Yarrowia lipolytica: one gene and its partners. The protein of the gene in region 1 interacts with the protein of each later gene in a pairwise test. Links are inferred from orthologs where the notes say so. Each region holds a gene or a part of one and is shown in the gene's direction. Other genes may lie near its edges. The genes, in order: YALI1_E33527g, YALI1_D25744g, YALI1_B01552g and YALI1_B29539g.

The links.
Region 2: the proteins of YALI1_E33527g (region 1) and YALI1_D25744g interact in a protein complementation assay, tested with the Saccharomyces cerevisiae proteins (2 studies listed by BioGRID). The link is inferred for Yarrowia lipolytica from reciprocal best matches to the Saccharomyces cerevisiae genes STU2 and CCT6.
Region 3: the proteins of YALI1_E33527g (region 1) and YALI1_B01552g interact in a two-hybrid assay, tested with the Saccharomyces cerevisiae proteins (2 studies listed by BioGRID). The link is inferred for Yarrowia lipolytica from reciprocal best matches to the Saccharomyces cerevisiae genes STU2 and PAC1.
Region 4: the proteins of YALI1_E33527g (region 1) and YALI1_B29539g interact in a two-hybrid assay, tested with the Saccharomyces cerevisiae proteins (2 studies listed by BioGRID). The link is inferred for Yarrowia lipolytica from reciprocal best matches to the Saccharomyces cerevisiae genes STU2 and UBC9.

What each region holds. Positions count from the first base shown.
Region 1 is NC_090774.1:3,348,962-3,355,275, reverse strand, and holds YALI1_E33527g (uncharacterized protein), read left to right. Parts: upstream 1-2,410; coding exon 2,411-2,467; intron 2,468-2,516; coding exon 2,517-5,063; downstream 5,064-6,314. Other genes in the region: YALI1_E33540g (uncharacterized protein), read right to left, coding at 1-1,211; YALI1_E33485g (uncharacterized protein), read right to left, coding at 5,347-6,314.
Region 2 is NC_090773.1:2,571,583-2,577,160, forward strand, and holds YALI1_D25744g (uncharacterized protein), read left to right. Parts: upstream 1-2,815; coding exon 2,816-2,949; intron 2,950-3,318; coding exon 3,319-4,756; downstream 4,757-5,578. Other genes in the region: YALI1_D25715g (uncharacterized protein), read left to right, coding at 1-756; YALI1_D25786g (uncharacterized protein), read right to left, coding at 5,134-5,578. UniProt on the Saccharomyces cerevisiae protein: Molecular chaperone; assists the folding of proteins upon ATP hydrolysis. Known to play a role, in vitro, in the folding of actin and tubulin. In yeast may play a role in mitotic spindle formation.
Region 3 is NC_090771.1:153,412-158,060, forward strand, and holds YALI1_B01552g (uncharacterized protein), read left to right. Parts: upstream 1-1,880; coding exon 1,881-3,194; downstream 3,195-4,649. Other genes in the region: YALI1_B01550g (uncharacterized protein), read right to left, coding at 1,285-1,609, 1,652-1,806; YALI1_B01568g (uncharacterized protein), read left to right, coding at 3,427-3,609, 3,655-3,699; YALI1_B01578g (uncharacterized protein), read left to right, coding at 4,470-4,649.
Region 4 is NC_090771.1:2,951,779-2,955,633, reverse strand, and holds YALI1_B29539g (uncharacterized protein), read left to right. Parts: upstream 1-1,616; coding exon 1,617-1,660; intron 1,661-1,716; coding exon 1,717-2,152; downstream 2,153-3,855. Other genes in the region: YALI1_B29548g (uncharacterized protein), read right to left, coding at 1-818; YALI1_B29528g (uncharacterized protein), read left to right, coding at 2,782-3,855. UniProt on the Saccharomyces cerevisiae protein: E2 ubiquitin-like--protein ligase mediating SUMO/Smt3 attachment to septins and PCNA. Seems to be involved in degradation of S- (CLB5) and M-phase cyclins (CLB2).

The sequences.
Region 1 (6,314 bases):
TCCTCTTCCTCCTTGATGACAGGACGAGGCTTGAACAGTCCAGAAAAGATATTGAATGAGTGCTTGAGAGGGTTGGAGGGACCCACTGTGGAAATAGGGAGCTCAGCAGTCATGACAGGGTATGTAGTAGCTGGGTTATTTTTATGCCATTCTGCTCTCTCTTTCTCAAAAACGGGATCGTAGAAGGGATCATACGCGTCTCTACCTCGATCGATAATTCCGGGAATATCTCGGAACTCGGGAAGTCGAGACTTAGGAAGACCCAAGGGATCATCAAAGTCGTTGGGCTCTCGAGGGGGATCAAGAGGAGGCATGGGCATAGGCATAATGAGTCTGTTATGGTAGTCAGGTTTCTTTCGCTTCTCAGCATCAATCTCTTCCTTCCACTTGGGAGGGGGACACTTCCAGAACACGTTACGAACATCATCCCAACAATGGAAGGCGTTCTTGTACGACAAGTCGATAGGAGCGGAAAGACCTCGTCGGGGTCGTCCATCCCCCTCATCGATGTCAAGTGGTTCCTGCTGTCCAATACGATTCAGAGTGTGGAACCAGGACTGCAGATTGGTTGCGACGTTGCTGAAGACACTTTCCTCGTTGGAGCTGTAAGTGTACTGCTCCCAGGGATCTACTGAGTTGTTCCAGTTTGCAGGAACGGGATGGCCCTTGTTGGTGGTGTAGAACATCGGGATTCGTCGAACCATGTGCTTGAAACCATCAGGGGTCTCGTACCAGTTGGCTAATACCAGATTGTCGGAGATGAGAGGTCGCATGGGGATTGGGTTGATACACTCTGGGTCCTTGGGGTTTCTCCAGTCACACTCAAACAGAGTACCAATCCACATGTTGGGGACGAACAAAGAGTACTTGAGGCCGGCGTATCGGCGTCTTCGCGCCATCATGAAACATCGAGTGTGGTCGTTGTTGTGAACGGAACACAACTTCTTGCCCCACACAGTATCTTGGCCGGGCTCGTTGGGATGGTACAAATCGTGCTGCTGAACATACGAGTTTTCACACTCGGATACTCGAGTATGGTGCAGATTGGGCCAAGATGAAACGGTCACTTGATGGTGAACAACAAAGCCATAGTAGTCTTCCAAGCCCAGCTCGTTGGGGTTGCAAACCCGATGTCGAGAGGGGATGATCTCGTTGTATTCATACATGGCCCAGGCTGTGGTAGCCAGTCCTAGGAAAAAATGAAGATGCATGTTGAGTTGATGATTATGAAATAAAATGGGATGGACTTGATGGCAGTAGATATACCGGTTTTTCCATAATTCAGGGAAAGCTGACCCATAACGAAGTCATCATAATGTATGCTACATAGTATGATGAGGAAGAGGTATCATTTCATTGAACATGGCTATAGAGCCATTTTGTACCATGGCATGTCAGTAGTTACGGGTATCTTTCGCCAATCCCTTACATTTTCAACTTTTGCCCGTTTGCATCACCAATACTTACTCTTGATAATTGTAGTTCCACTCGTCAATTTTGTTCCATGCACGGAAGCAGAGGAAACACGCTACACGCGATAAATACGTGCCATAAGTTTAGGACAGGTAGCTGCTGTATAGACTCATGCGAGACGGTATGCAGTATTATCAGCCGGCATGTTTCTACACCTCCGAATCTTTTTTAGAAAAAAGGGTATACCTACAATTCATTTTATGGGCCACAATCTGTCAACTTTCCAAGCTCCTCGAGACACCAAGTCCCTCAAACCACCTACGTAACACTACATGGATAACCACTTCTAAACTACCCCGTATTTACTATCATAAGAGTTCTTGGAGCACTCTCTTGGTACTGTACTGTACAGTACATACTGTACTTGATATCTACTACAAGTAGTACATACTCACCTTTCACATCTTTCATGTACCCTCAGGCCAGATTTAGACAACAACGCGTGTTCTGAGCGCGTATACTTCGCGCGTGTCCATGTGACATGCCCGCTCTCAAGCCAAGCTCATTGGCGTATATTAGTTACAGCTACATAATGTTGTTACTCCTACGAGTACCAACACAGCAGCTGTACTTGTACGAGTATGTACCTTCCTATCATTAGCTGAGTCCCTTTTTTTCCATCCCAATTGGGGATCGAACCACAACACACAACCAGTCTAAACAACATCCAAAGACAAGCGTGGTCAAAACGGGAATGTCGACAATATATAGACTGGTTCTATGGGAATTACACAAAAATACTATGTTAACCGACAGTAATGTTCCATTAATACATTCTCCTACTATAATCAGTATAGAACAACTCCCGTAATCGAACCCCAGCTAGCCAACCTTATTTGCCTCCCCATCGTTGCCGGGGTAACCGCATGTAAACTGAGATGCATACAGTTCTCATCCCCTAATACCCGTAACACGACCGACATCGCTACAACACGACATGAGTGAAGAAGAAGATTTTAATGCGATTCCGGTGATGGACCGAATGGTCCACAAGGTGAGTATCACGTGTTTTCCCCTTCCCAAACCCCGCGTTACTAATTCAGAACTGGAAAGCGCGACAATCAGCTTATGAAGAGTTGAAGGACAAGTTCACGACATCTCCAAGCGAAGCGGACCCCATTTTCGCGCCTTTCCTCGACAACCCTGGGCTGTACAAGAAGATTGTCGGTGACACGAACGTGGTTGCTCAGGATCAAGGTATTCAATCTTTGGCAGCCTTCCTTCAGTTTGGAGGTACCCAGGCTTGTTTGAGAACACGGTCTGTAGTGGTTCCTATTCTTGCTGAAAAGGGACTAGCTTCCGCACGAGCAGGCACAAAAACTTCTTCTACAGAATCCCTGTTATGGTACATTGAACTGGACGTCCCTGATCCTGTTGTGGAGGATGTTGTTGCTTTGTTGGGCCATAGAACACCCAAGGTGATCGCTGCCAACCTGAAGTGTTTGGTGGACATGGTCGCAGCATTTGGAAAGACAATCGACCCTAAGCCCGTGTTCAAGGCTCTTCCTAAGCTGCTTACTCATGCAGACAAGAATGTGCGAGCAGAGGCGATGAACTTCATTGTTGAGGTTCAAAAGTGGCATGGTCAGCCTCTGATGGACGCAATTTTGCCCAGCTGGAACCTCAAACCTGTACAGCAGAAGGAACTCGATGAGAAGTTTGCTGCTAACGCAGCTGCTGGAAAACCTACCCAAGCTCGACTTCTCAGATCTCAACAACAGGTGCTTTCTACAGCTTCGGCCAACGGAATCGAGTCCGACGAGATGGATGTGGACAATGGGGGTGATGAGGAGGATTCGGACCCTCTGGCTCTGGTGGAAGCCAAGGATGTGCTGTCTCAGGTTCCAGCAAACTTTTACACAGAAGTTACATCAGCCAAGTGGAAGGAACGAAAGGAGGGGTTGGAGGCAGTTCTACCTGTACTTCAGAGCGGAGGCCCCAAATTACAGGAGGGAGACTACGGAGAACTTCTCAGAGCTATGGCTAAGGTGGTTCACAAGGATGCCAACGTGCAATGTGTGCAGGTGGCTGCTCAGTGTATCGAGACAGTGGCGAATGGGTTGCCCGGTAACGCGTTTGCACGATACCGATTCACTCTCCAAGCTGTTCTGGAGCGAACGAAGGAGAAAAAAGCTTCTGTGGCTGAAGCACTGGGCAAAGCTCTCGATGCTATTGCTTGCAAGCTCCCCTTTGGCGAGGTGGTGGAAGATACATTGCCGTTCGTGTCCCATAAGACTCCCCAGGTGCGGATTGAGTCTCTGAACTTCATTCTGCGTCTTTTGTCGACTATCAAGGAGTATCCTAGTGACCAGGACTTGGATCATGTGATCAAGGCGGTTCTGAAGACACTTTCTGATACCCAGGCTCCTGTCCGAGAGATTTCCATGCAGGTTCTTGGTACTGCTCGAAAGCTGATTGGAGAACGGGCCTTTGAGCAGCATTTCAAGGGCGTTGACGATATCCGAAAGACGAAAATCGTCGAGTACTACGATAAGGCAACAGTGGTGGCTAGGCCCAAGGCCAAGCCTACCCCAAAGCCTGCTACTCGCGCTCCTCCTCCTTCTGCCTCTGCTTCTGCATCTAACAAACGTCCTTCTGTGGCTACTCCTGGTCAACGGAAACTGGTTCGACCCGGTGGAGGTGTTATTCGAAAGCCCTTTACTGGATCCAATGCCGGTCCTTCTTCTGGATTTGGATCTACCGACAGCAAGCCAGTTCAGTCATCTGGATATGGTCAGTCTTCAGGATACGGCCAATCTCGAACTGGGTTGATGAAGCAACCTCTCAAGAAGATTCCTGCAAGCCCGAGTATCGACTCTTTCGGACCAGCAGCTTCCTCAGCAGATATTGAGGAACTAGAGGAGCTGAGAGCCGCTAAGGAAACTTGGATCAAGGAGAAGGAGACATTGATGGCTGCTTTTGAGGCCGAAAAGCAAAAGTTTGCAGCTGAGAAGCAGAGATTGCTTGACGAGATCAACTCTCTGCAACATTCCAAGGCAGACATTCTAGAACAACACACCAAAGACGCTGTTTCGTTCAAGAGCAAAGAGACACAGTTCTCCCGGATGCAGGGGGATTTGCAGGCTGCTTACAAGCGGATTTCTGAGCTGGAAACTGCTGCTTCTGCTTCTCAGGCTGTGAAGCAAGAACCCCGAGAGATGTCACCCTCTGTTGACGCTGAGGCATCGTTCAGAGAGCTGTCGTTGGGTGGGGAAGGAGGAGGGAGTGAGAGAGTTGGAGGAGACAGACGAATATCACGTGACTTAAGCGGAGGAAACAACTTTAATGCGGGAAGCAACGGCACGCGTGAATTCAGGCCTGGTCATGGAGGTAACAGCGGCTCACGTGACTTTGGTGTCGGTAACCGGGGCTCTCGGGACTTCGGTGTTGGGAACGGATCACGTGACTACTTGGGAGGAAACGGACATGACTACGGTACACGTGAGTCGGCGGTGTCACGTGCCCTATCTCCTGACAGACGGGATTCATATAGACCTCAGGCTCAGGAGTCGTGGCAGCGTGCTGCAGAGGTTACTAATCAGTTGAAGGCTCGAATCGAGGCCATGAAGGCGAGACAGAAGATGTACTAGTACTGGATTTGATAATTCTAGGGTTGGAAGCTGATACCAGGAGAATGATGATGAATGGCAATGTTCATGTAGGAAAATGGTTAACACTTAATGGCTGGTTTTGATGTGTAGAGCTCGCGGACTGAATAAAATACATTGATATTGACTATTTTAGTGATTTTGGTGTTGTCTGTATGTGATCAGACGGCGGATATATGGTTAGGTCTGATTGGTTTGTTTTGGATGTTTTGAGTGGTCGTGCAGTGCAAGTACCCGTAGGGGACAATAATTGGTCATATTAGGACTAGTTCACGTCACAATGACTGCCCTCTTCCTCTCCATTCACAATCTTCAGCAGTGATTGGATGGTGGAGAAGAGCATGACTAGCACTCCAAATCCTGCCACCAGATAGTAAGGAGCCTTCTGTTTTAGACTCTTGTTCTTGGTCAGCTTCAAATAGCACAGGGGAGGCAGGATATATGCCATGACGCAAGCTGAGGTAGCTCCGACGAGTTCTAGAATAACACCCAGGTTACAGGTGATCAGAGCAACACACATGGCGGTGAGCATCATCACCGTGGTAGTAACAATGTGTCTAATCCACTTGAACTCATCGCCAGGCCAAAAGTATGTAGTGAAGACTTCTCTGCAAACGAAGATCTCCAGAGGCAGGGTGGTGAGCATGTTGAAGCCAAAACAGAATCGCGCAACGTTGGCCATGACATCAGAGGCTGGGAAGTTGTTGAGAACGTTTCCCTTGGTCTTGTCGACGAAAATGACGAACCCACCCACTCCCATGGCCAGACAAGCCACCATGGAGACTCCGGTAGACCAGTGGGTAACTGTAGCGAATCTATCCATAGTAGGTCGTTTCAGAGAGTCGTAGATCAGCAGAGAGTTGTGGTGACAGACAAAGGCGAAAGAGATGACTGACACTCCCTGAAACAGTCCCGGGCTGATACTCAGAGCGTGTCCATCAAAAGTGCCCTTGTACTCAGGAGCAAGCTGGGGTCCTCGGACAATCACAAGAATGACAATGACCAGCATGGATACCAAAGCCAAAGCCGAGGCCTTGGCCAAATGGGCAATATTTCTGTTCAGAGCCAACGGATAAGAGATCAGACACGTGCAAATAACAATAATAAACTGTCTGTTGACGAGGATCGAAGGTCCCGAGTCCTCACCACCCAGAAGAGACGGGAAAAGTGCTCCCAGAACATGCGGAATAGTGTCTCCGATAATGACACAGAACGCGATCGATCCACCAAATG
Region 2 (5,578 bases), on another chromosome or scaffold:
GAAGAAGCCCGCCTTGGTCTCACCGACGACGACACCCTGTCCCAGGGCTCGGGATCGTCTGGATCCGGAAACTCGTGGGTCTCTCCTCGAGTTGTCTCCGACATGATCATCGGTCTTTCTGACGGCCTCACCGTCCCCTTTGCCCTCACCGCCGGTCTGTCTTCTCTGGGAGACACCAAGCTTGTCATCACCGGAGGTATGGCTGAGCTTGTCGCCGGAGCCATCTCAATGGGTCTCGGTGGATACCTCGCCGCCAAGTCTGAGAACGACTACTACAAGTCCGAGTGCACCAAGGAGCGAGCCGTCCTCAAGACCGAGTCCTCCGAGGGAGAGTCTCAGATCGCCGACATCCTCGCCCAGTACAACCTTTCTCCCGAGACCACTGCCTCCTTCACCAAGGACCTGCAGAAGAACCCCACATCCATGGTTGACTTTATCATTCGATTCGGAAAGGGTCTCGAGGAACCTGCTGAGGGCCGAGAATTCACCTCTGCCATGACCATTGGTCTGGCTTACTTCTTCGGAGGTTTCATTCCCCTGATCCCTTACTTCTTTACCGCCCACGTCGACGATGGTCTCATGTGGTCCGTCATTGTCATGCTCATCACCCTCTTCATCTTCGGTTGCACCAAGACTGTCATCTCTCTTGGATCCGACGTCGGACGAGGCTGCATCACGTGGAATGGTATCCAGATGACTCTGATTGGTGGTCTTGCTGCCGGAGCTGCATGGGGTCTTGTCAAGCTGATTGAATAATCCTTGACTTGCACTCCCAACCCAAAAAAAGCAGACCGCGGACGGCGGGCACCACCATCACATACCCCCTATACACTTGGCACTCAGGACTGCCAGCAAAGTGGACCCCTTGAATTGTCTTAGGACCGTTTGTTTTCCTTGTGAAAGCAAACATTGACGTTACGTCCGCGCTCCTAGCGCCGTGCAAACTCTCTTGCACATTCTATTTATTGTTCTGCAGTTTATTTATTGATATTGTATCAAATTGGAGTCGTAGCTGTGTTAGTCCAGCACATATTTTTTTTAGCAGTACAAACTTTTAGCAGTACATTTTTTAGCAGTACAAATTTTTCAGCCCAAGCTTTAGTATCCACTCGCTTACGCTTGGTATCGTCGACTTGTGCATCGCCGTGCATATTTGATGCATCTCAGCTGCATGGTGGTGTGAGACATCCGATGCTGTCTGAGGTGTATTGTAACCATGAAATGAAATATATGGAGGCATTGCCAAAGACCGAGCAATGGCAAATTGATAGAACCGGAGATACCTGCCAGGAGAGGGCGTCTAAAATGGACCGATTTATGCCTCTAATGAAGATAATAGCCGCTAGCCCCTTCAAATGAAACTAACGAGGAATGCGCACGTGCGTAAGCAGGTTACAAACGGTTAGACGGATAGATACAGGTACAGTACCGGTATGGGTAGCGGAATTTCTAATGTCGTTGGTCACGTGAAATTGGAGCTACTTGTACCCGGCATAATGATCAATTGGTCTTCGTAGCCGAACTCGTCTGAATAATAAATGGCAGCTATCAAGACGAGGCTAAATATGAGACATCATCGGTGGAGACGTGGGGTGGTAAGATTATTAGCTGGCCGTCTATTGGAGGAAACAGCTGATGCCATCGTGTTTCACTAATCGGTTCAGAGCTCTTCTTTCGTCACTATTAATGTACCAATGGACGTACCAACGTGTGCGTATCTGCATGTAGGAGTTCCTACCAGCATGTATAAGTCGGCCAAAGAGATCAGAGGAGAACCTTGGAGCTTGAGTTGTATGTATATACTGCGCTAGGCACTGGTCATAACCTGTGTATTGCTGCGATCAAAAAGGCATGATGTCGTTCTGTAGATGATGACTGTCAGCGATGACTGTCAGCCTTGGCTCTAAACACGTCGAAGATGTCCGGAAACCGTCAAATCAGCTCGTGACACCTGCCATCAGCACCAACGACGTGTAGATGGATGTCCGTTGCCAATTGGCAATAGATTGTGCTATTGCCGTGCTATGGCTCATAACCTCTAGGTCTCAGAACTGGCGATATCCATGTCCTCTTCCTAACCTGATTATATCAACTAAATATTGTGTGGGAACTGCCTCAGCAAATTTGACATTTTTTGACCTCATGTGTGATCAGAGTCTAATTAAAAAAAAACCATCACAGGCAGTGAAGTTCTGGTCAAGGACATGGTCTGCTATATATACTGCAGAAATTTTTTTTCCTGCAGCGGTGGACTCATAATTACGCCAGGTGGGATTTTTTTCAGCATGCATATGTTAATATTATGTAATACGAGAACACAGGAGTGCACAGGTACTGAAATGAAAAACACGGGAGGTGCCAATATTTCAATCACGTGACTAAAACTATCTGCCCGTTTCGTTTAATCTCTATGTACAATTTCTCGTACTCGTACTCGTGCTCGTACAGTCGGTGAGCTGCTCTCAATACACGTGTTGCTGAGTTGCTAAGGCGTCCAACTAACCCTGACTAAGTGAGGCGTTGTCCGGACAACGGAGAATAGAGGGTCTAATGGGCATAAAACGAGTGAATGTATATCGTCCCTGGAAATATCCATCAGTCAAGCAACCCTTTTGTTTATTTATATATTTCGTCTTCTAAAAGATTCTACGTTATTCTCTACGCCACCGGTAATCGAACACGCGTCCCCCAAAGTAGTGCCTGAGTGCAGATAGAGTGTGTGCGAACCTCGTCTGTGAAAATTAAAGACGTCACCAAATCCTATCTGCACGGGGCTTTTCTGTTTTCCACACTTTTCGAATCACACATACACAACATGTCTGTGCAACTACTGAACCCCAAGGCCGAGTCCCTGCGACGGCAGCAGGCGCTTCAGGTCAACATTGCCGCCGCAGAGGGTCTTCAGAGCGTTCTTTGCAGCAATCTGGGTCCCAAGGGCACCATCAAAATGTGAGTATGGTGGCGATCAGTTGGTGTTAGACAAACATCAAGAAGGAGTTCAAGACGTCCTAAGGGTAATGATGAGCATCTGTCCGTGTTATGTTGTACACGACGATGGTGCTGTTGATTATTGTGTTGCAATTGCACCTGTTTATGTAATTGGAACATGATGGAAGCCAGGATGTTATAACCACGACACAGGATTCATTTTGACGTGGTCACGACTTGATTGAGGACGTACCACGACAGGAGTTATCAAATGAACACAGATATGCCATATCACTGTTTCAAGACACGTCACAGTCTTATCACCAGAGTCATATCACCAAAGTCATATCACCAAAAGCACATCACGAGAGTCATACAATACTAACCCAGGCTTGTTGATGGAGCAGGAGGAATCAAGCTCACCAAGGACGGAAAGGTGCTTCTGTCCGAGATGCAGATCCAGAACCCCACCGCCGTACTGATTGCCCGAGCCGCCACTGCACAGGACGACATTACCGGTGACGGTACGACATCGGTTGTCCTTTACGTTGGAGAGATGCTTCGACAGGCCGAGCGGTTCGTCACTGAGATGCATCCCCGAGTCATTGCTGAGGGCTTTGAGATTGCTCGAAAGGAGGCCCTTTCCTTCCTCGACACCTTCAAGATCAACAAGGCCGGCAGCGTCGACCGAGAGCTGCTTCTGGCGGTCGCTCGATCTTCCCTCGCCACCAAAGTGAACCCCACTCTGGTGGCGCGTCTGGCTCCCGTCGTCACCGATGCCGTTCTGGCAGTTGGAGACGATCTGCACATGGTTGAGATCATGAAGCAGCAGCGACCCGACGACACTCGGCTGATCCGAGGTCTGGTTCTGGATCATGGTCCCCGACACCCCGACATGCCCAAGAGAGTCGAGAACGCGTTTGTGCTCACTCTCAACGTGTCTCTAGAGTACGAGAAGTCCGAGGTCAACGCCGGCTTCTTCTACTCCACTGCTGAGGAGCGAGAGAAGCTGGTACAGTCCGAGCGACAGTTTGTGGACGACAAGGTCAAGAAGATTGTCGAACTCAAGCGGGAAGTGTGTGCCAACGGCGAGGGCTTTGTTATTGTCAACCAGAAGGGTATTGATCCTCTGTCTCTGGACATTCTGGCCAAGAACGGCATTTTTGCCCTGAGACGAGCAAAGCGACGAAACATGGAGCGTCTGCAGCTCGTGTGTGGAGGAGAGGCCCAGAACTCGGTTGAGGATCTGCGTCCCGATATTCTGGGATGGGCCGGTCTGGTCTACGAGGAGACCATTGGCGAGGAGAAGTACACCTACATTGAGGAGGTCAAGGACCCCCGGTCGGTGACCATTCTGATCCGAGCCCCCAACTCTCACAGCATTGCCCAGACCTCCGATGCGGTGCGAGACGGTCTCCGAGCTGTGGCCAACTGCCGAACCGACCAGGCTGTTGTTCCTGGTGCCGGCGCATTCCAGCTCGCTCTGCACCAGCATCTCATCAAGTTCGCGCGAAGCACCAAGGGTAAGGCCAAGTACGGAATCACAGCCTTTGCCGAGGCCATGCTGATTATCCCCAAGACTCTGGCTTCTAACGCCGGTTACGACGCTCTTGACATGATTACCGAGTGCCAGGACGAGATTGCCGAGGGCCATCTTGTGGGTTTGGATCTGACCACCGGCGAGCCCATGGACCCCACGGTTGAGGGTGTCTACGACTCGTTCCGGGTGATCCGAAACAGCATTGCCAGTGCCACTGGTATTGCCACCAACCTGCTGCTGTGCGACGAGCTGCTCAAGGCTGGTCGATCTTCGTTGAAGCAGCAGTAAGGGGAGGTGTAGAGCATAAAATGAGGCCATAAGCGGTATGGGTTGGATACGAATGAATGTAATTGAATATAGACATGACAAGAGGAGGGAAGTTGAAGAAGTAGTCCCTGCCTAACGTGTGCAGTACAAGTACGAGATAGCCACCGTCTATATTATTATTTTCTGCATAATACATTCATTAATTATAAGTTGATTGTAGTGTAGTAATAGTTGAGTAAGGGTTAAGGCTACTTACTGAATTGTTGGTGGGCACAGTTCAGATGTACGAATGATTCTACAATCATTACTCCTCATTCTCGAGGTACAAATAGTTGATAAGTATTGTACAGTCGCTGGAGTACAGTCATTAAGTGTCAGTCATTAAGTGTTGGTTTTGTTCAGGCCTTCTGGACCATCTCCTCGACTTGCTTCTTCTCGTCGTAGGAGGGCGGCTTCTCGATTGAGTCTGTCTCCACGACCAGTCCGTTATCGTCGGTGGACTCGTCGGCCTTGACATGCTCGGACTCCTCCTTGATTCGCTGGGCGGTATCGAGATTGATATCTGCGTTGGTCAGAGAGAGGCAGAACATGATGGCACAGAGAATGAGAGGGCCGATGAGCAGTGATCGGATGACGGTGTTGAGCGAGGTTCCAATGGCCGCTCTTTGGGGGGAGCCCACGGGGTATCTGAGACCGGCGTAGATGGAGCCGAAAATGGCCTGGATCTCCCGGTCAGTAAAGGACCCTGTTTCTCGAAGCAGCTTGGGGAAATGGTTTCGGTACACAGCGGCCGAGATGACGTTACCGAGAATGGTACCGGTGGAATTGAAAAAGTAGTAGACG
Region 3 (4,649 bases), on another chromosome or scaffold:
GCTGGTTGGTGAGGGAAAAAAGTCGTTAAATGCTGATATAATTGATAAAAAGACGGAATTGACAAAAAGACGAAAAGACGACATCTTAGATGCTCTTGATTGAACCAAACTGATATCCGTGGATTTTGAAGCTTTGGATATTCCGGTTGTCCAAAGCCGCCAAAACAAAGCCTCGGGCCGAATCCTGAGTCCAAGGGGAGTCGAAAGGTGATGCTTATATACCCACAAAATGGCTCTTTCTGAAACTATGGGCTAAAAACACCTTTTCAACTTGACCTCCGATCTGACCCCCACACCCCTACAGAAAATATGCATCAATTTCCGAGCCGCACGTCACGGACAAGAACAGAGATCTATACGATGTTTCTAGAGATTCCAATTGAAAGAAATGTCCTCCCACAAGGAGAAAACAACAACCAACAGTCGATTCGGACAATGATTTCTGGCAATGGTTTCTGACAGAGGTTCTGGATAGCCGATTGCCATTCAGACAAGTCCAGCAAGTTGCACCCTCAAACTCACCGACTTAACCGGTAGAGTCTTGTCGGTTCAAGAAAAACAAGAAACTGCGTGAAAGGTGCTACAGACTAGAACCCTTTTCCAAAGACTCAGCATCATGACGAAACCGAACAGATGGACGCATCTGAAGACCTTGACCAAACTAAGGTCCCCCAAGCTCCAGCAACGAACGATCAGAAGAGATACCTTGGCAGAACCATTATCGAATGTCCAACATCCTGCGGTATCGTGACCTGACAGTGTACACTGCACTCAAACTGTTGAGAGTATGTTCACTAAGAGTCAAGCCATTGTTCCAAAGAGACTGGTTTATTCAGGGCAGCGAGGTGTGTCATCCTGGAACGTCCTTTGGCGAAACAAGCCTCTCCTAGTCAGGATTCAGCCGCACTGGACTGAGGTGGAAGAAGAAGAAGAAGAAGAAGAAGAAGCAGATAAAATGGCTCCAATTGTAGACTCAGACACAAATGGAATCTAAGGAAATGTATATTGAGCTGACTATACAGCATTAATTGGAGCAGCGGAAAATAAACTGGGAAATAAACTGGAGATTGGGTGTGGTAATGCGTATCAGGATACACAAAAGACGTGGAAAAGTTACGTAATCTCAATCATGTGACATTCTAAAATCCCAGCTCGGTTTCAACATGTCATTGCCGTTTCCACATGCTTCATTCGCTTCAGTCTCCCATTCGTGCGGCTCGGAAATATTTCAAAATGTTGGTAAAACATGAAAGTCAAAAATAAAAGTCAAAAATAAACATCAAATTAGGATTGAAAAAACGAATGATATTTACTCGTTGAGTAATCCGATGGCAATTTATAGACATTGTTAATGGTGTCCAAATGTCCGCATGATTCTCCTGATTCCAATGCTACCACTTTCATCGCCTCTGTCCTAATATTGACAAAGATAGGGCAAGATACTCTGAAATTCCCCCAAGATTTCCCAGAAATGGGTTGATGACACTTTTCCACGTTTAATAACACTTTCCAATCTCTAATCCTTCCCAAATCCCCCCAAATCATCCCACAGAACCGTGCCACCACCAACACCAATCTAAGATGAAACGCGACCTCCCCTAACCTTAACCTTAATTTGGGATTTCAAAACACCGTCGTTAAAAGTGGTGACAAAAATGGGACGAATTTGGAGTGTGGAAAAAACAGTGTTTTGAACAGTGTTTTGAACGGTGGCATTTGGACCCTTCGAATATAACTCATAATCTCTAGATTGACCGAACAACACAGTAGGGTCACGTGCACACCCTCCCTCCTTTGCCTGGTCATAACCAGACCATCTCACACCTCCCAGCTGACTAACTTTACCCACTACTCTTACCTCATCACCACCACACACCACCATGGAGTCGCTACTGACGGATAAACAACGCAGCGACCTGGAAACCAGCATTTTCGGATACGTCAGCCGGCTGACTAACGACGAGGCGCTGCTGAGTCAGCTGGCGGCGGTTCTGAGTCAGCCGTCGGGCTCCGAGCCCGTGCCTGCCGACACTCTCAAGGCCAACGCTTTACTACTGGAAAAGAAATGGTTATCGGTCATAAGGCTTCAGCGCAAGGTGATGGATTTGGAAACCCGTTTGGAGGCGGCAGAGCGAGAAGCCTCTTCCACTCATAAGGCCAACGGTCTGGGGGCTGGCGACCCGAAAACGTGGCTACCCAAAACTTCACGATTCAGCCTGTTACATAAGCAGCCCGTGAATGCCGTGTCATTTCATCCGTTTCATTCCACTCTGGCGTCGGCGTGCGAAGATGGAAATATCAGAATCTGGGATTACGAGCTGGGCGAGATTGAAACGACGATAAAGGCCCATACGAGGGGGGTGCTGGACGTGGACTTTAGTCAGCCGGACACGGGAGCGTCACGGGACAAATCACATGACAAGCCACGTGCCGACGTATCACACGCCCAGCCCCGAGCGCTCCTGGTCAGCTGCTCGTCGGACCTCACCATCCGAATATGGGACCCCCAAAACGAATACGCAAACGTCAAAACACTGACCGGCCATGACCACACAATCTCGGCGGTCAAATTCACCGCGTCGGGGAACCACGTCATTTCCGCGTCACGTGACAAGACGGTCCGCGTCTGGTCCGTGCAATCGGGCTACTGCGTGCGAACGGTCCACGGCCACACAGACTGGGTCAAATCGTGCGCGGCGCTCAACGAAGAGTTCATCTTCTCAGCAGGGATCGATCACGTGACCCGCGTCAGCGAGTTTGTCTCCGGCGACGGCAAGATGACGCTACTCGGCCACGAGCACGTGATCGAGGGCGTTGCCGTCTACCCCAAGAGCGCCGCCGGGTGTCTGGCCAAGCTCGACAAGACGAGCTCGTACTTTGTCGTGTCGTGGTCACGTGACAAGACGATCCGGGTGTGGTCGTCACGTGGCGATCCTCTACTAATTCTTCGGGGTCATGACAATTGGGTTAGGGGAGTTGTTCTTCATCCGGCCGGGCGGTATTTGGTTTCTGTTTCTGATGACAAGACCATGAGATGTTGGGATTTGGAGCAGGGCGGCCGGTGTATTAGGGTTGTTGATGCCCATGGGCATTTTGTCACGTGCGTGGCGTGGGCTCCGAACGATGTCAATGGTCGGGTTCGGTGTCTTGTTGCCACTGGCGGTGTTGATGGCCAAGTCAAGGTGTGGCAGTGAGGGGAGCGAGCAAGCAATTTGCTTAGGTAACGATAAATGGCGTTTCTGTTGGTCATGATCTGGACTGACAAGGGGTCACGTCACTCTAGTGCCGCTCTGACACTACAGAGTCCACAAGTTAGGAGGAAAAATCAAGGCATAAGGGCATAAGGGCATAAGGGGAATTGGAGATCGTCTGAATCTGTAGCAGAGTGGGTCAGGTTGGTTTTGACCGGTTCTCCAAAGCTTCACAATGGACATGTCTCGGTCTGGAGCAGTTTGGAATCATAGGGCATTCGGAAACAATCGGGAGGCACGTCAGGATTACTCTGACCACGCAAAAGTCACTCTGACCAGTTTGAATTACTCGAAACCTGTCAGTAGCTCCATCAAACTCCTGAATCAACTTTGGAGCGATTCAAACAGTTTGATTGCAGTCTGGAGATGACTGTTTCGCACTATTTCTCAGATTTACTACAAGTCCTGTACAGACTACTCATGTGACTGCACGGGACTAATCATATGACCACACGTGACTACTCACGTGACGGACGTGCGGCCTACCCATCGGTTCTCAGACGGTACATAGAACAAGTGTATTTTTAGTAACTACCTACTGTACTGTACGTAATCAGTAGTGCCTGTAGCTGTGATGAAGTCGCGTGATACAAGTTGACCTGACCTCCCATTTTTCTGACTTGTTGAGAATTACTTAGAATCCGGTCACGTCGAATCCACACAAATGACGCCACAGGAGAGAGGGGGACTACATAAAATACAACATTCAATATCTCCGATCTTGAAGAACACAGTGGTGTCTTTAACCCGACCCATCTTCAGCACAAAAACTCCCTGTGGTTTGCTCGTTTGTATGTTCACCATTACACCTCTACACCAGCCTAACTAAAATTAGTTGGCGCGATTTAGAGTTTTTAAATGACACCATATATGCACGCTGCAGGCTCATGCATGCAAGTGAGTCGAGGCGGCAGCGAATGGAGACCGGGGCGACCAATTGAGCGATTTTGATGAGTTTTGGAAAAACACAAAGCTCACGGAATGAACCAGGGCCGGGCCAAAATTTGATTTCGGGACTTTCCCCTTCTCCAACAAGCCCCGAAGCAGGCCTATTCCTGCCCCGCCCGCTCGGTCGCCGCCTTGACGATAAAGTTGGGTTGTACATACATGACATGAGCAACCAAGGTATATATCAATATATCACCCTGAACCACATCTTATCGTCATCACCCCGCCACCACCACCACCACCACCACCACTACCACCACATAAGCCAATATGTCATTCTTCCGAACTTTGCAATTCTCCAAGGGCGCCGTGTCGCTCTTCGCCAACCCCAAGTTTGAAAAGTCGCTCGCATTCGCAAAATACATTGAGAAGAACCTCAACACCGCCGGCAAGGATATTGGCGACCTGCCGTTCGACTTTGAGGAGACCACCACCGCCCCCACTCTGGAC
Region 4 (3,855 bases), on another chromosome or scaffold:
TCCATCAGCTGGGTGATGACGGCTCGGTCGGCTTCGGAGTCGTCAGAGTAAGAGGGGTCCTCAAACTTGGCACAGATTTTGCCAACAATGTCCTGCTGCAGCTTAAGTCGGTCTCGCTCCTTCTCCTCGGTCACCTTGGATCCGTGCTCGTCCCACCACTTAGGGTAGTTGTCGTGCATCTCCTTCAACGGCTGGTACAGAACCTCCTTGGAGGCCAGCTGACGCATGATTCCTCCTAACATATCTCCAAAGTCGCCTTCCCCGCCCTCTCCAAAGCCTCCAGCACCCGACAGCTGCTCCATGAGGCCAGCGAGCATGTCGTCACCAAGGGGCATGTCCCCCATCTCCTGGTTACTCTGGTTCAAACGGTCAGCAGTGGCGGAAATGGTCTCTTTGAATGACTTGGGCTGCTGGGCCTTTTCGGATGCGGTGGCGCTGGTAACGTTGTTGATCTCCTTGAGCAGAGACTCAAACTGGGCCTTGGACTCGGGGTCTGCCTCGATGTCCTTAAGGAAGTCGTCCATCTTGAGCCCAGCGAGCTGATCCTCGAGGTTGGGCAGAGAAACCTTCTCCGCACCGGCCTCCGCAGAGTCAGTGGCCGCATTCTTGTCAGCAGTATCGGCTCCCTCAGTCTTTGAATCGGTCCCGGAAGTTTCGGTGCTCTTCTTAGTGGCATCAGGCTTAGCCTCGGCAGTGGTAGGAGCAGTAGATGTAGTAGGGGTAGCATCCTTCTGAGCTCCAGGAGGCTTGCTCAGCACCTGCTCGTCGAACTCGTCGAGAAAGTCATCGAGGTCATCAAGATCTTCTTCGTGTGACATTGTTTTTGTGGGTGTGAACTGTGTGGGGGTGTGGTTAAGAAGCGAACACGATGGAAATCAAGGTGTTGGTCAACTTAGTTTCTTTCACAAGGTGGGGTGTGCAGGGGGAGTCTATGATCATCAGCCGTCTGAGTGGTTAGATTTGGACCAAGGAGGTGAGACAGGTGTAATTAATGAAGTAGTGGTAATTAATACCACGGAATATTCAATGGAAAATTCTTCCTCCACTTCCTCCTCTTCTGGCTTCTATTTTTTGGCACAAACGTGTGTGTGGGGTACGGGTTAGGGGCGTGGGGCAAGTGTCAGTCAAGCTGTCTCGCTGTAGAAAGAGGGCCCTTGAGTGTGCAAATTTGTGTCTTTGGAACAAGGGGGTCTCGGAATGCAAAGGATCATGAATGAAAAAGATGCTTCAAGAAGGTCTCTTAGTTAGGACAATTTTTTGTACTCGTACTTGTTCCACATCTTCATTAAATGAGCTCTGATAGGTGTAGATCCTTCTGGGAGAGGCTTGACGCTTAGTAATATTGAAAGTCAGTAATCCAGCCAAACCACCAACAAATATCTTGGGCGTAGGTTTTCCGTAGAATATACGCCAAATGAAGTAAATAATTCTATGATTGGACTCTCCCACGTGAATAATAAAAACACCTCACTTCCATACCCACATAGGACTCGAACCGAGTGCTGAAAGTTAGCTACGTTACTATGGAGATAGTCGGCCACAAACAAAACCTCTTTAGGAGACATCATCACATCGCATTCTCCACACACACCACACACAAGACACAACCAGCAAAAATGTCGGAAGACTCGTTGATGCAGAAGCGACTCATGGAAGAGCGGTGAGTTACAAAGACCAATCTTTATTCACCTAGACGCCCCGTTTTAACTAACTCAGGAAAACCTGGCGAAAGTCACATCCGTTTGGCTTCTTTGCTAAGCCCGCCAAGGACCAGAACGGAAACCTGGATCTCACTAACTGGAACGCCGGCATCCCCGGAAAGGAAGGAACCGCCTGGGCCGGTGCCACATACCCCATGCTCATCACCTTCCCCAAAGACTACCCGACCAAACCCCCACGATGCCGATTTGATGCTGGGTTCTATCACCCCAACGTCTACCCCTCGGGCACCGTCTGTCTGTCAATTCTGAACGAGGAGGAGGACTGGCGACCTTCCATCACGCTGTCTGAGATTGTCATGGGTATCCAGGAGCTCATGAACAACCCCAACCCCCACTCTCCCGCCCAGAACGATGCATTTGCCGCCTTCCAGAAGAACAAGGAGGAGTACGATAAGCGGGTGGCCGAGCAGGTCAAAAAGTACGCTGCTTAGAGTGATACTCGGCGTTCGTATTAATGCATTACGCGATGCTGGAGGACTTTAGAACTGGAGTCTTGAAGGAGGATCCAAGGGCCGAGATGAGCTGATCCACCCTCACGCGACTAAACATTAAATATAACATATGTATGCGTGACGCTTGTGGGTCAGCGGTTTTCGCATGTTTTAGTCAATAGATGTATTTTTTTTCTCCCTCCTGTCCAATGTTTGGTGGTTATGACAGCCCCAAAGTTAAGCCATTTTTCATTAGTCAGCTCCATGGGTTCATTTTCGTGGAGCTCTGTAAGCGTGACTCAGTTGACTCAACGTGTGGGCATGGAGGTTGGGTTTATCCGTTGCTTGTCATACAAATTTGAGGATATGGTTTGCTGTTAATGTCGGAAAAATGTGCAGGAACATATATCAAGTACACAGCTATAGCTACACGAGGGGATGTAACCAGGGGGATATGACGGCTTCACTTCATAGTGGACAGAAATACCGCTCAAAAACCCTTTTGCCCCGCCCAACAAGACCCCATGTACCCCCTAAGGCTTGCTAATATTGAGGGTTTCACCTCCGTCTTGGCCCATGCGGGGATTGTTTAACTTCGTTGGGACCTGTCCTAAACATCTATCCATACAATGGTGCCTCGACGAGGAGCCACAATTGGGGCGCCATTGCCCCGTATATTCTCGAGACACGTCAGCAACTACTTTCACTATCGCCAGGGCGACGTGGCGGGCCGCATAAACCTGCTTTCGCTTCCGGGCTTCATTGGACACTACACAAGCCGAGTCAACAGACCCTACAACGAAGACCGCTACAGCGCCTCCGTATTGAAACTACCTCGAGGCAGCACTTTTGCGCCTCGATCTCTGCGAAAGGGCATGTCTGCCGAGCGTCAGGTCTTCAACTTTGCCGTCTACGATGGCCACGGATCCGACGAGTGCTCCGAGTTTCTTAAGGACAAACTGGCCACCTATGTCGAGAAGGCTGACCTCAACGACGCCGACGACATTACCACCAAGTACAAGGAGCGGTTTGGAGGCTACTGGCGCCGATGGAAGCAGATGGACAAATACCGGGGTAGAATGAGCCCCTACGACGACTTCCAGTTACGACTACCGTTGGCGTTCCTGGAGGCCGACTACGATTTTGAAGGTAAAGGAGGAAGTACATGCACATCGGTGTTCTTGTATTGTCGCCATGTGGCCCATTCAGAGGCCGGTCCCCTACCGCCGGGGGCTGAGGATAACATGTTTGACCCAGAGAACGACCTCTCTCTAGTAGTGGCCCATGTCGGAGACACTCGATGCATCATCTGTGATGCCAAAGGAGAGGCCACACCTCTTACCATCGACCACCATCCCAGCGCTCCCACCGAGGCCGATCGTCTGCGTCGATTTGCATCTTCATTCTTCATGGACTCCTTCGGCGAGGAGCGGTTCGGTGTCTTTGCCAACACCCGAGCCTTTGGAGACACACTTATGAAGGCCAAGGGTGTGAGTGCCGAGCCCGACGTGCGAGAGGTTGCACTCCAGGACGAACAGTTCCTGGTGCTGGTTTCCGACGGAGTTTCTGGCGACGTGTCTGATCAAGAGATCGTGGACCTGGTAACCATTACCGCCAACAGTAGCGGTTCTGGACGAGGATCGCCACAGCAGGCTGCCCAGGAGGTGGTTGAGTACGCAGCGGCTTTGGGTGGCTCGGACAAT